Linked DNA regions of Rattus norvegicus. The protein of the gene in region 1 purifies or fractionates together with the protein of each later gene. This does not show direct contact. Links are inferred from orthologs where the notes say so. Each region holds a gene or a part of one and is shown in the gene's direction. Other genes may lie near its edges. The genes, in order: Lrfn4 and Nck2.

What was found.
Region 2: the proteins of Lrfn4 (region 1) and Nck2 purify together in Homo sapiens (co-immunoprecipitation; 3 studies listed by BioGRID and IntAct, counting the BioPlex papers as one, with this or other methods). This does not show direct contact. The link is inferred for Rattus norvegicus from reciprocal best matches to the Homo sapiens genes LRFN4 and NCK2.

The regions. Positions count from the first base shown.
Region 1 is NC_086019.1:211,318,378-211,322,751, reverse strand, and holds the start of Lrfn4 (leucine-rich repeat and fibronectin type-III domain-containing protein 4 precursor), read left to right. Parts: upstream 1-1,479; 5' UTR 1,480-1,639; intron 1,640-2,088; 5' UTR 2,089-2,098; coding exon 2,099-3,447; intron 3,448-3,923; coding exon 3,924-4,374. UniProt on the Homo sapiens protein: Promotes neurite outgrowth in hippocampal neurons. May play a role in redistributing DLG4 to the cell periphery.
Region 2 is NC_086027.1:53,205,516-53,209,868, forward strand, and holds the start of Nck2 (cytoplasmic protein NCK2), read left to right. Parts: upstream 1-1,463; 5' UTR 1,464-1,550; intron 1,551-4,353. UniProt on the Homo sapiens protein: Adapter protein which associates with tyrosine-phosphorylated growth factor receptors or their cellular substrates. Maintains low levels of EIF2S1 phosphorylation by promoting its dephosphorylation by PP1.

The DNA.
Region 1 (4,374 bases):
TAGGAACAGGGCCAGAGACCACCAGGTTCCCACAGCAGGGTAACAACACACAACAAACTAGAATATGTGTGTATTTGGAGTGAATGGAAACTCTTTAGGGTTAGAAAAAGAAGTATCTGGCACCACCTCATATCACAGTTGACCGGACTAAAGAAAGATCCAAATTACTTTTCCAACAGCTGGGGTGTCCCAGCAACAAGCCAAGCAGAGGCTTCCAGCTGCAAGGACTTAAGCCCCTCAAGCTGCAAGGTTTCCTTAGGTGTGAACAGTACAGGCAACTAGCAGCCCTAGGTCTCCGTGAGAAAACCGTTTCTGTGGGTAAGGAACTTGCTCAGGGCTGTGCAGCTGTACCAGGCAGGACTAGAATCCAATCTCTTTCTCCCCCAGTTCCTGGCACCCACGCACTCCTTAGATTCAGGTACGGAGGGAGGGAAATAGGAAGAAGGGGCCCAGGTAGTCTGAGAGGAGGAGATGCCCCGCAGGAGGTGGTAACTTCCCATCCCAGCTAAGTGAACCATTCCTGGGAGACAAACAAGATACCCAACTTGGTTCTGAGTCCACCTCACATTTCTGACCGTTCGAACCACATTCCCTAGGAAGAGGCCCCTCTAGAAGAGGGGAGGCGGAGCTATGACACAGAGAGGACCACTGACGCACAGCTTCAAACAGCGTGCCACAGCCAGCCTGCTGGGAAACCGCGCAGCACAGACCAATCCAGCCAGAGGCGGAGGCCGGTTGGCTGGGGAGCGCCGGGCAGGGCGGGAGGGAGACCGAGGAGAGGAAGGAGGGGCGCGGCGGGGCGGGGCACGACGGCAGTCCCGTGGCCAAGCCCTCAGGCCCCACCCGCAGAAGCCCTGTTGGGGGCGCCACCCCAGCCCCCCACCCCCCAGGGTCCGGACCTGTGGGGGATTCTTCACGTGACGCGGTGATGCAGAACGGTTGTGACCTTCAGTGTGTATCTGCGAACGCGAGGGTCCCAGTAACAGTGCGGGTTTGCACCCGGCCCTGCCCGTGGGTGCGGGGACGTGTGGGTGTGTGGGCATATGTGGGCGTGTTGGGGAGGGTGCCCAGAGACATGTGACAAAGACCCGTCTCTGGGAGATGGTAAAGGGGCCTTAGAGCTGGCGCTTTGTCTGGTTGTCTGCAGAGCCGCGGCGCCCGCCTGAGCGGTTACAGGATGCTTGGGCGCCAGGGTGGCCGAGGGCGCGCGCGCCCGTGCCAGGGTGAGTGCGCTGCGGCAGCGCCTTGGGACAACGCGGAGGGCCTGGTCCGGCCTCGGGCGTGACTGGGCGCCACCCGTGGGCGCTGCAGTGGCCGCGTGTCCCCGTGACCTCCGGAACCCGGCTGGGGCCCGGCTGGATCCCTGTGCCCCTCCGGGTCCACCCTCCACGTGCGTGTTCGTGGCGCGCGTGTCCGTCAGCGCGCATCCGCCTGCCTGCCGCCGCCGCCACCGCGAACGGCGCGGAGAAAAGGTGCCGGGAGCCGAGAGAGCCGGGGCCGAGGGCCCGAGCGCCATGGGCCGGAGGGCGCGCGGCTGGCGGGCCCGGCCTCGCTCCCGCGAGAGAGCGGCCTGGAGTCGGCAGAGGCCGGCTGGGTCCGCGGGGAGGCCAGCCCGAGCCCCCTGAGCGACGGACACCAGGTGAGCCCCCCCTCCCCCGCCCCGACAGGGCTCAGAGGGAGGCCCGCCCGGGGAGGAGCCACAGTCCACGCCAGGGATTTGGGGGACGCCATCCTCAGCCACGAAGGGGAAGGCACGAAGGGGGGAGGGGGCTGGCCATTTCAGAGGATGCCAGGAGGAAGTTCCCGGACCCTCCCTGCTCTTGGCCCTCCTCCACTTCCTGCCTCATGCCTCACCTTGTTCCCAGTACCTGGACTCCCTTCAACTGCTTGGGAAATGTGACCTTTACTCTGGGGGGGCCTTAGTCTGCAGCCCCAGCCATCTTTCCTCCCTGGGGTCCTCCGTGAGCATCTTACCCAAATCTTCCCCAGTTCAGACTCTGGAAACTGGTTCCTGGGACTGTGCCCTGGGCACAAGTGGGCCCTTGCCCTAGCCCCACCTGTGCCTGGGGCTGCGGCCCTTTCCCACAGGGCACTCACCATGGCCCCGCCGCTCCTATTGCTGTTGCTGGCCAGTGGAGCCGCTGCTTGCCCGCTGCCCTGTGTGTGCCAGAACCTGTCGGAGTCGCTCAGCACCCTTTGTGCCCACCGAGGCCTGCTGTTTGTGCCACCCAACGTGGACAGGCGCACAGTTGAACTGCGCCTGGCTGACAACTTCATCCAGGCCCTGGGACCACCTGACTTCCGCAACATGACAGGGCTGGTGGACCTAACATTGTCTCGAAATGCCATCACCCGCATCGGGGCCCGCTCCTTTGGGGACCTGGAGAGCCTGCGCTCCTTGCACCTGGATGGCAACAGGCTGGTGGAACTGGGCAGCAGCAGCCTACGGGGGCCTGTCAACCTCCAGCACCTCATTCTTAGTGGCAATCAGCTGGGCCGAATCGCTCCTGGGGCCTTCGACGACTTCCTTGACAGTCTCGAGGACCTGGATGTGTCCTATAACAATCTCCGGCAGGTTCCCTGGGCTGGCATAGGCTCCATGCCTGCCCTGCATACCCTTAACCTGGACCATAACCTCATTGATGCGCTGCCCCCAGGTGTTTTTGCCCAGCTTAGCCAGCTCTCCCGCCTGGACCTGACCTCCAACCGCCTGGCCACCCTGGCACCTGATCCACTCTTCTCTCGGGGTCGGGATGCTGAGGCCTCACCTTCCCCTCTGGTGCTGAGTTTCAGCGGGAACCCACTGCACTGCAACTGTGAGCTGCTGTGGCTGCGGAGGCTGGCCCGGCCTGATGACCTGGAAACCTGCGCTTCTCCACCAACCCTGGCAGGCCGCTACTTCTGGGCAGTGCCTGAGGGAGAGTTCTCCTGTGAGCCTCCACTGATTGCCCGACACACACAGCGCCTGTGGGTGCTAGAAGGTCAGCGGGCCACTCTACGGTGCAGGGCTCTTGGTGACCCTGTACCTACCATGCACTGGGTTGGTCCTGATGACAGGCTGGTTGGCAACTCTTCTCGAGCCTGGGCTTTCCCCAACGGGACCCTAGAGATTGGGGTGACAGGCGCTGGAGATGCAGGAGCCTATACCTGCATTGCTACCAACCCTGCCGGTGAGGCCACAGCCCGAGTGGAGCTCCGGGTACTGGCCTTGCCCCATGGTGGGAACACCAGTGCTGAGGGGGGCCGTCCTGGGCCCTCGGACATTGCTGCCTCTGCTAGAACTGCTGCTGAAGGCGAGGGAACTTTAGAATCTGAACCAGCCGTGCAAGTGACAGAGGTGACTGCCACCTCTGGACTGGTGAGCTGGGGCCCAGGGCGGCCAGCTGACCCAGTGTGGATGTTCCAAATCCAGTACAACAGCAGCGAGGATGAGACCCTCATCTACCGGTGAGGATGGGCCTTGCACACTCCCTTCAGCCTGCTTTGTTCACTGTGCCTCCCTTCCTGCTGACCCTGTACCCCCAAGTTCTGCCTGTTCCCCCTCCAGGCCTGTGCCTGCTCCTCTACTTCTAAACTCTTGGAGTATGGCTTGGGCAGAGAAACGTGTGGCTGCTTTTTAAGGGGTCTCAGGTGAGGCTGTATGTGCCAGCCTTCCTGACCATCAGTGATAGCAGCTTGGGTGTCTGCTAAGGCACCTGACCCCCACCCCAGGGTATTTTTGCCTCTGCTTGGTTCCATTCCCCACCCCCAGCTCCTATTACCTGAGGCCTGTGTCAGTGCACACATCCATCCCTGCCCTGGCACTATTCTGCGTGTGTTGACAGGGCCTTATAGGCCTGAGGGGCTGTTCAGGGCAAACCTGAAAGAAGGGAATGGGGGCTGTACCCCACCCTGGGGCTCTGACCACCTGCCCTTGCCTACAGGATTGTACCAGCCTCCAGCCAACACTTCCTGCTGAAGCACCTGGTTCCTGGTGCTGACTACGACCTCTGCCTGCTGGCCCTGTCACCTGCTGCTGGGCCCTCCGACCTCACGGCCACTAGACTGCTGGGCTGTGCCCACTTCTCTACCCTACCAGCCACCCCCCTGTGCCATGCCCTACAGGCCCATGTGCTGGGCGGGACCCTGACTGTGGCAGTGGGAGGCGTCCTAGTGGCTGCCTTACTGGTCTTCACTGTGGCCTTGCTGGTTCGGGGCCGGGGAGCTGGGAATGGCCGCCTCCCACTCAAACTCAGCCATGTCCAATCCCAGACCAATGGTGGCACTAGCCCCATGCCCAAGAGCCACCCACCACGGAGCCCTCCACCCCGTCCCCAGCGCAGCTGCTCCCTGGACCTAGGAGACACCGGTGGATGCTACGGGTATGCCAGGCGC
Region 2 (4,353 bases), on another chromosome or scaffold:
CCTGTCCCTGTTGTCCTACTTATTTAGCATAAACTAATTTTAAGTGGGGCTAAACTATTGATTAGAGCTCTGCTTTCATTGTTGCAAAGCTAGATAGTAACAAGATGAGGTCTGCATCAAAGGATGAAGTTAGCGTCTCTGACTGGAAGAGACTGTTGGGTATGCTAATTTTGTATCTGATTCCTCCCAATGCCCTAGTATCGGCTACATGCCAGCTACTTTACATAGAGGGCAGGTAAACATCTCATGTGTTAAAGCTGAGGAAGTTGTGAAAGACTTATGTAAGGTGACACAGTTCAGGTAGCCTACAGTCAAAGGCTGCTATGACGATGGTGCCAAGCTTCCTCAGATTACTTATGCCTGGGAACTTCCTTTAGGGAGGGAGGCAGCTGCCTGGTCACTTAAGGTGTATTGCTGCTGCCTTCCTTAATAAGGAGGAGCCAAGAGATAGGGTAGAATCTCATTAACATAAACGTGAGTTGTCCAACCGGAAAACTGAATTCATTTGAATATCAGTGTTTCCTTTGGGGAATCATGAGTGAAGGAGCTTGGAGAAGGAACATCTGGATTCTGGTGTGTAAGGTATATGTGTTCCTTCCCCTCGCTCTAGGGTTCTAGCTTTCCAAGTTTGCTTACAGGTTAGCTATTACTCAAGGCTGGGAGAGAGAGACTTCCTTCTAAAGCTTTCTCAGCCTCCTGTACTAAAGAATTCCGGGGCTTTAAGAAGCTGGCCAGGGCGCTGCGGAGGCAGCAGAGGTCGGGTTTCCTCTCCTCCCCCCCCCCACTAGGAAGTGGTCCCGCCTGGGGGGCCGGGGGTGGGGTGGAGTAAAAAAGTGTCTGGATGGGAAAGTAAATAAATGCAAGGCAAATAAATAAAGAAAATGCCCACAAGCAATTACTGGGAGGAAGTGACATTTTCACGTAAGTCACTTTTCTGACAGACACCAGGCCTGTTTGGCTGAGAGTGCCGTGGGAATGCTTGGGGGGAGGCGGGGTAGGGAGATCGCTGTAAGAATCCAAGGCACAGCCGGGGTGCGGAGACCACCGGGTCTCGTGTGCTGGAAGTGGCCCTTCATTCTCCCTTGCAGCCCCTCCCGTGTGCCCCCAACTCCAATTTAGAACGGGTTACGGCTTGAAGCCCGCAGGCGGCGCTTTCCCTAGGCCTGGCCGGGACTCCCAGGTGGGTACCCCGCCCCGCGTGCGCCGGGATGGGCCGGCCCCTGGGCGGCGTCACGGCAGCCGGGGAGGAGCGCGGGCGGGGAGCGCGCGGAGGCGGGCGCTGCGCGGGAGGGTCGCCGCCGCAGATCGCAGGCCGGTGCGCGCGGCCGAGCGGGCGGCGGCGGCGGCGACAGTGGTGGTGGGGTGGGCTCGGCGGCGGGCAGGCTCGGGGCTCCCGGGCCGGCAGGGTCCGCCGGGTCCAATTGCGTCCGCTTGGTGGCGGGAGGAGGGAGCGGTGCAGACAAAGAGCGGCATCTGGGCGGGCGCAGCGCGGCCGCCGCCCCGGGACTAGCGCTGCTGCCCTCCGGCCTCGGCGTGCACTGTGCAGCGAGGTAAGGCGATGGCGGGGGCTGCAAACTTGGGCCGGTCGGTAGAGTTGGAAGAGAGGGGTGGGCGGGCCGGGGCCGCCCTGGGAGGGCCAGGGAGCGCGTACCCCTGCGCACCCGGCTAGTGCCCTCGGCCCCGGCGCGGCCTGCCGTCCCCGGGCACCCGCACCTCGGATACACACCTTCCTGCGAGCCCTCGCCTCCCTCAGCCTCGGGCTGGCGTGGGGGTGGGGCGCCCTCCGCGGGCAGACAACGGGGACCAAGGACCGAAAGCCCTCGGGAACACAAGCAACCCTGGCCTGCCGGCGGGCGTGGGACCGAACCTTGGTCGAGTCGCCGGGCGCGCGTGCCTGGGAAGAATAGCCTAGGATCCGAGGGCTACAGCGCTAGGAAGCGGGAGGCTGCGATGGCCGGGGAGAACTTACTGTACTTCGTGATCCGGCACAAAGCTGCTGTCACGTTCTCTAAAGGAGGTCTTTGCCTCGGCTCAGGGCGCTTTTGTGCCTGGTTCCAGTCCCTGCGCCCGGTCCCGCATTTCCAAGACTTAAACCTCTTGAACCAAAGTTTTTCCCAGTTGTTCTGCCCCCTTAGTTTATTCAGGGCGATTTAAGCAAGTGGTTCTGCAAGAATTTGATGTGTGACTTTTAATGTCCCGATGGCACCTCCCTTTTGAGCACTTTTAGCTTGGCATTGTGTGAAGGGGTTTGATTTGGAAAACACTTATTTATACACAACAACGATTCTCCCGGAAGGTGTGCGCGGGTGGTGGCTAATGGATAGCAGACGTGACTTAACAGTAGTATTGTGAACAGCTTGGGAACACAGCTGGGCGCCAAGTGGAATGGGCCCTGTCACCGTAGCCCATTCAGGTCGGCAGCTTCCTCCGTATTTGACTTTCCTTATTTTGCTAACAGGTTTAAGGCCGGTCTTGCCAACTTTGCATCTGTGTGTGTGGTGAACAGGTCCGAGTTTGGGCTGGAGGTGCACAGGCCGCCTCCTTGGTTGACCCAAAAAGAAACAGCCCATTGACCAGTGGGCGTGGCTTGCTGGTACCCTCCCTTGGAGACTTCTCTGCTCCTCACCCACTGAAGGCTTTTCTGCTGGGATTTTGAAGAGGAATGAGAATAATTTTGGGTGTGTTTCAAGCCTGGGTTTTTTGGTATAGTTAGCAACAGTGGTTTTCCAGTCTAAAGGTCACTACTTTATCAGAACATCTGAACTGCGCTGTGGGCACTCCCTCCATTCACTTTCCAAGTTTATAGATACAGACTTAGAAACAGGACTTTCGTGCTTGTGCCTGGTTTATGTAGTGAAGGCAGCCAATGGACACATGGAGAAGGTGCACTTTAGACAGTTAAGGTTTTAGACCTTCGGGTCTTTCCTAAGTGACCACAAGGGACAATCCCGCCTTAAACTTTCTCACCTCCTGGTAGGTTCCTGTAGTTTTGACTGAAGAAAGTAAAGGTCGAAGTGATCTGAAGCTGAATTGAGAACTTTGTGCAGCTGTAAAGTTTTGAGTTACAGCTTACTGCCTGTCTTGCTCTCAGCTTCTGAAATGTGCTTGAACAGAGTCCCGTTTTTCAGGATTGGAAGTTGCTATGAGAGCTCTGGCCACTTGATAGGTGATTTGCCCACTTGTGGAGAAACTGACCTCATAAAAATGGGTAGAGCTTATAAAAGGTGGTTTCCAGCTCCTGGTCGTCTGTTTTCAGTCCTTTTCCAGGCTTTCAGTTTTGCTTTTCCCAGCAGTCCTTGCTTCCGTCTCCATCCTCCTTTTCTCTTTGACCCTGTCATATTCCTGACCTCTGTCATGTACGTTGGGGTACTGAACATTCCCGACAAACAGCAATGCCCAGGTGTTTGAGAAAATGTGCTTTGATCCTTGTTAAATCTCCCCAGCTCTTTCCAATGTTGGAGCAGACTGGACCCCTTGAAAACAGCCATGAGACTCACTGATTGCGTAGCGACCTGGAGGTCTTTATTTGATCACTTGCATTAGCTTAATTTGCCCTGGCAAGACCAGACTTGGTTGCTCTGTAGGGCACATATGCTTCTAAGTGACTGGCTTGCAGTGTGCACTGGGGCTGACATGACTTGTGGAAATGATTTTCTGATGTTCAGAATGAGCCTTAATGACTGAAGAATTCAAGACTGCTTGTCCCACGTGCGGAACAGTGCAGTGAACAGTGTTGGGAGAAGCTCATAAGCTAACTCTTCTTTACAAAAGAACTGGGAAGCTTCCACTAGAGACTTAGGAAATGAGTTTTCCCATCCAGAGGGACTTCAAATGTTGCTTCAGAATTATTTCTCCTTCCTAAAAATGAGTGATGGAAACACTTCTCAGGGTGTTTTCAAAGGGCATAAGTGAAAAAAAAAAAAGACAACATTTGTGCTGTTATGTGTAAGTTAGGTGGCTCAGAGGAGGTCAAAGCAGTCTTTTAAAACAAGCTATCAGAGGTATGCAGCCCTGGTGAAAATAATTCATTTCTTTAGGCCATCAGAATAGTGCAATTTTTAAAAAAGACTTTTTTTATTTTTCAACAATTCACTTTGGACAAATCACAGAGAACGTGATGGTAGAGTCTTTTTAGGGAACCATACCCACATTCCCACCCCTCCTCCCACTTTCTTCTGAAGTAGACTTCCTGAGATTCTCAGTGCTCCAGGCCATGAAAAATACTCTTTAGGTCGACATAGCAGTGCCACACTAGGGTTACGGTGGTATTTCCATCGAGGACCTGGGTAGCCGCCCAAGAGGGAACTAGTTACTTTCCCAGATTTTATGGCTGTCTTAACTTTCATCTCTTTC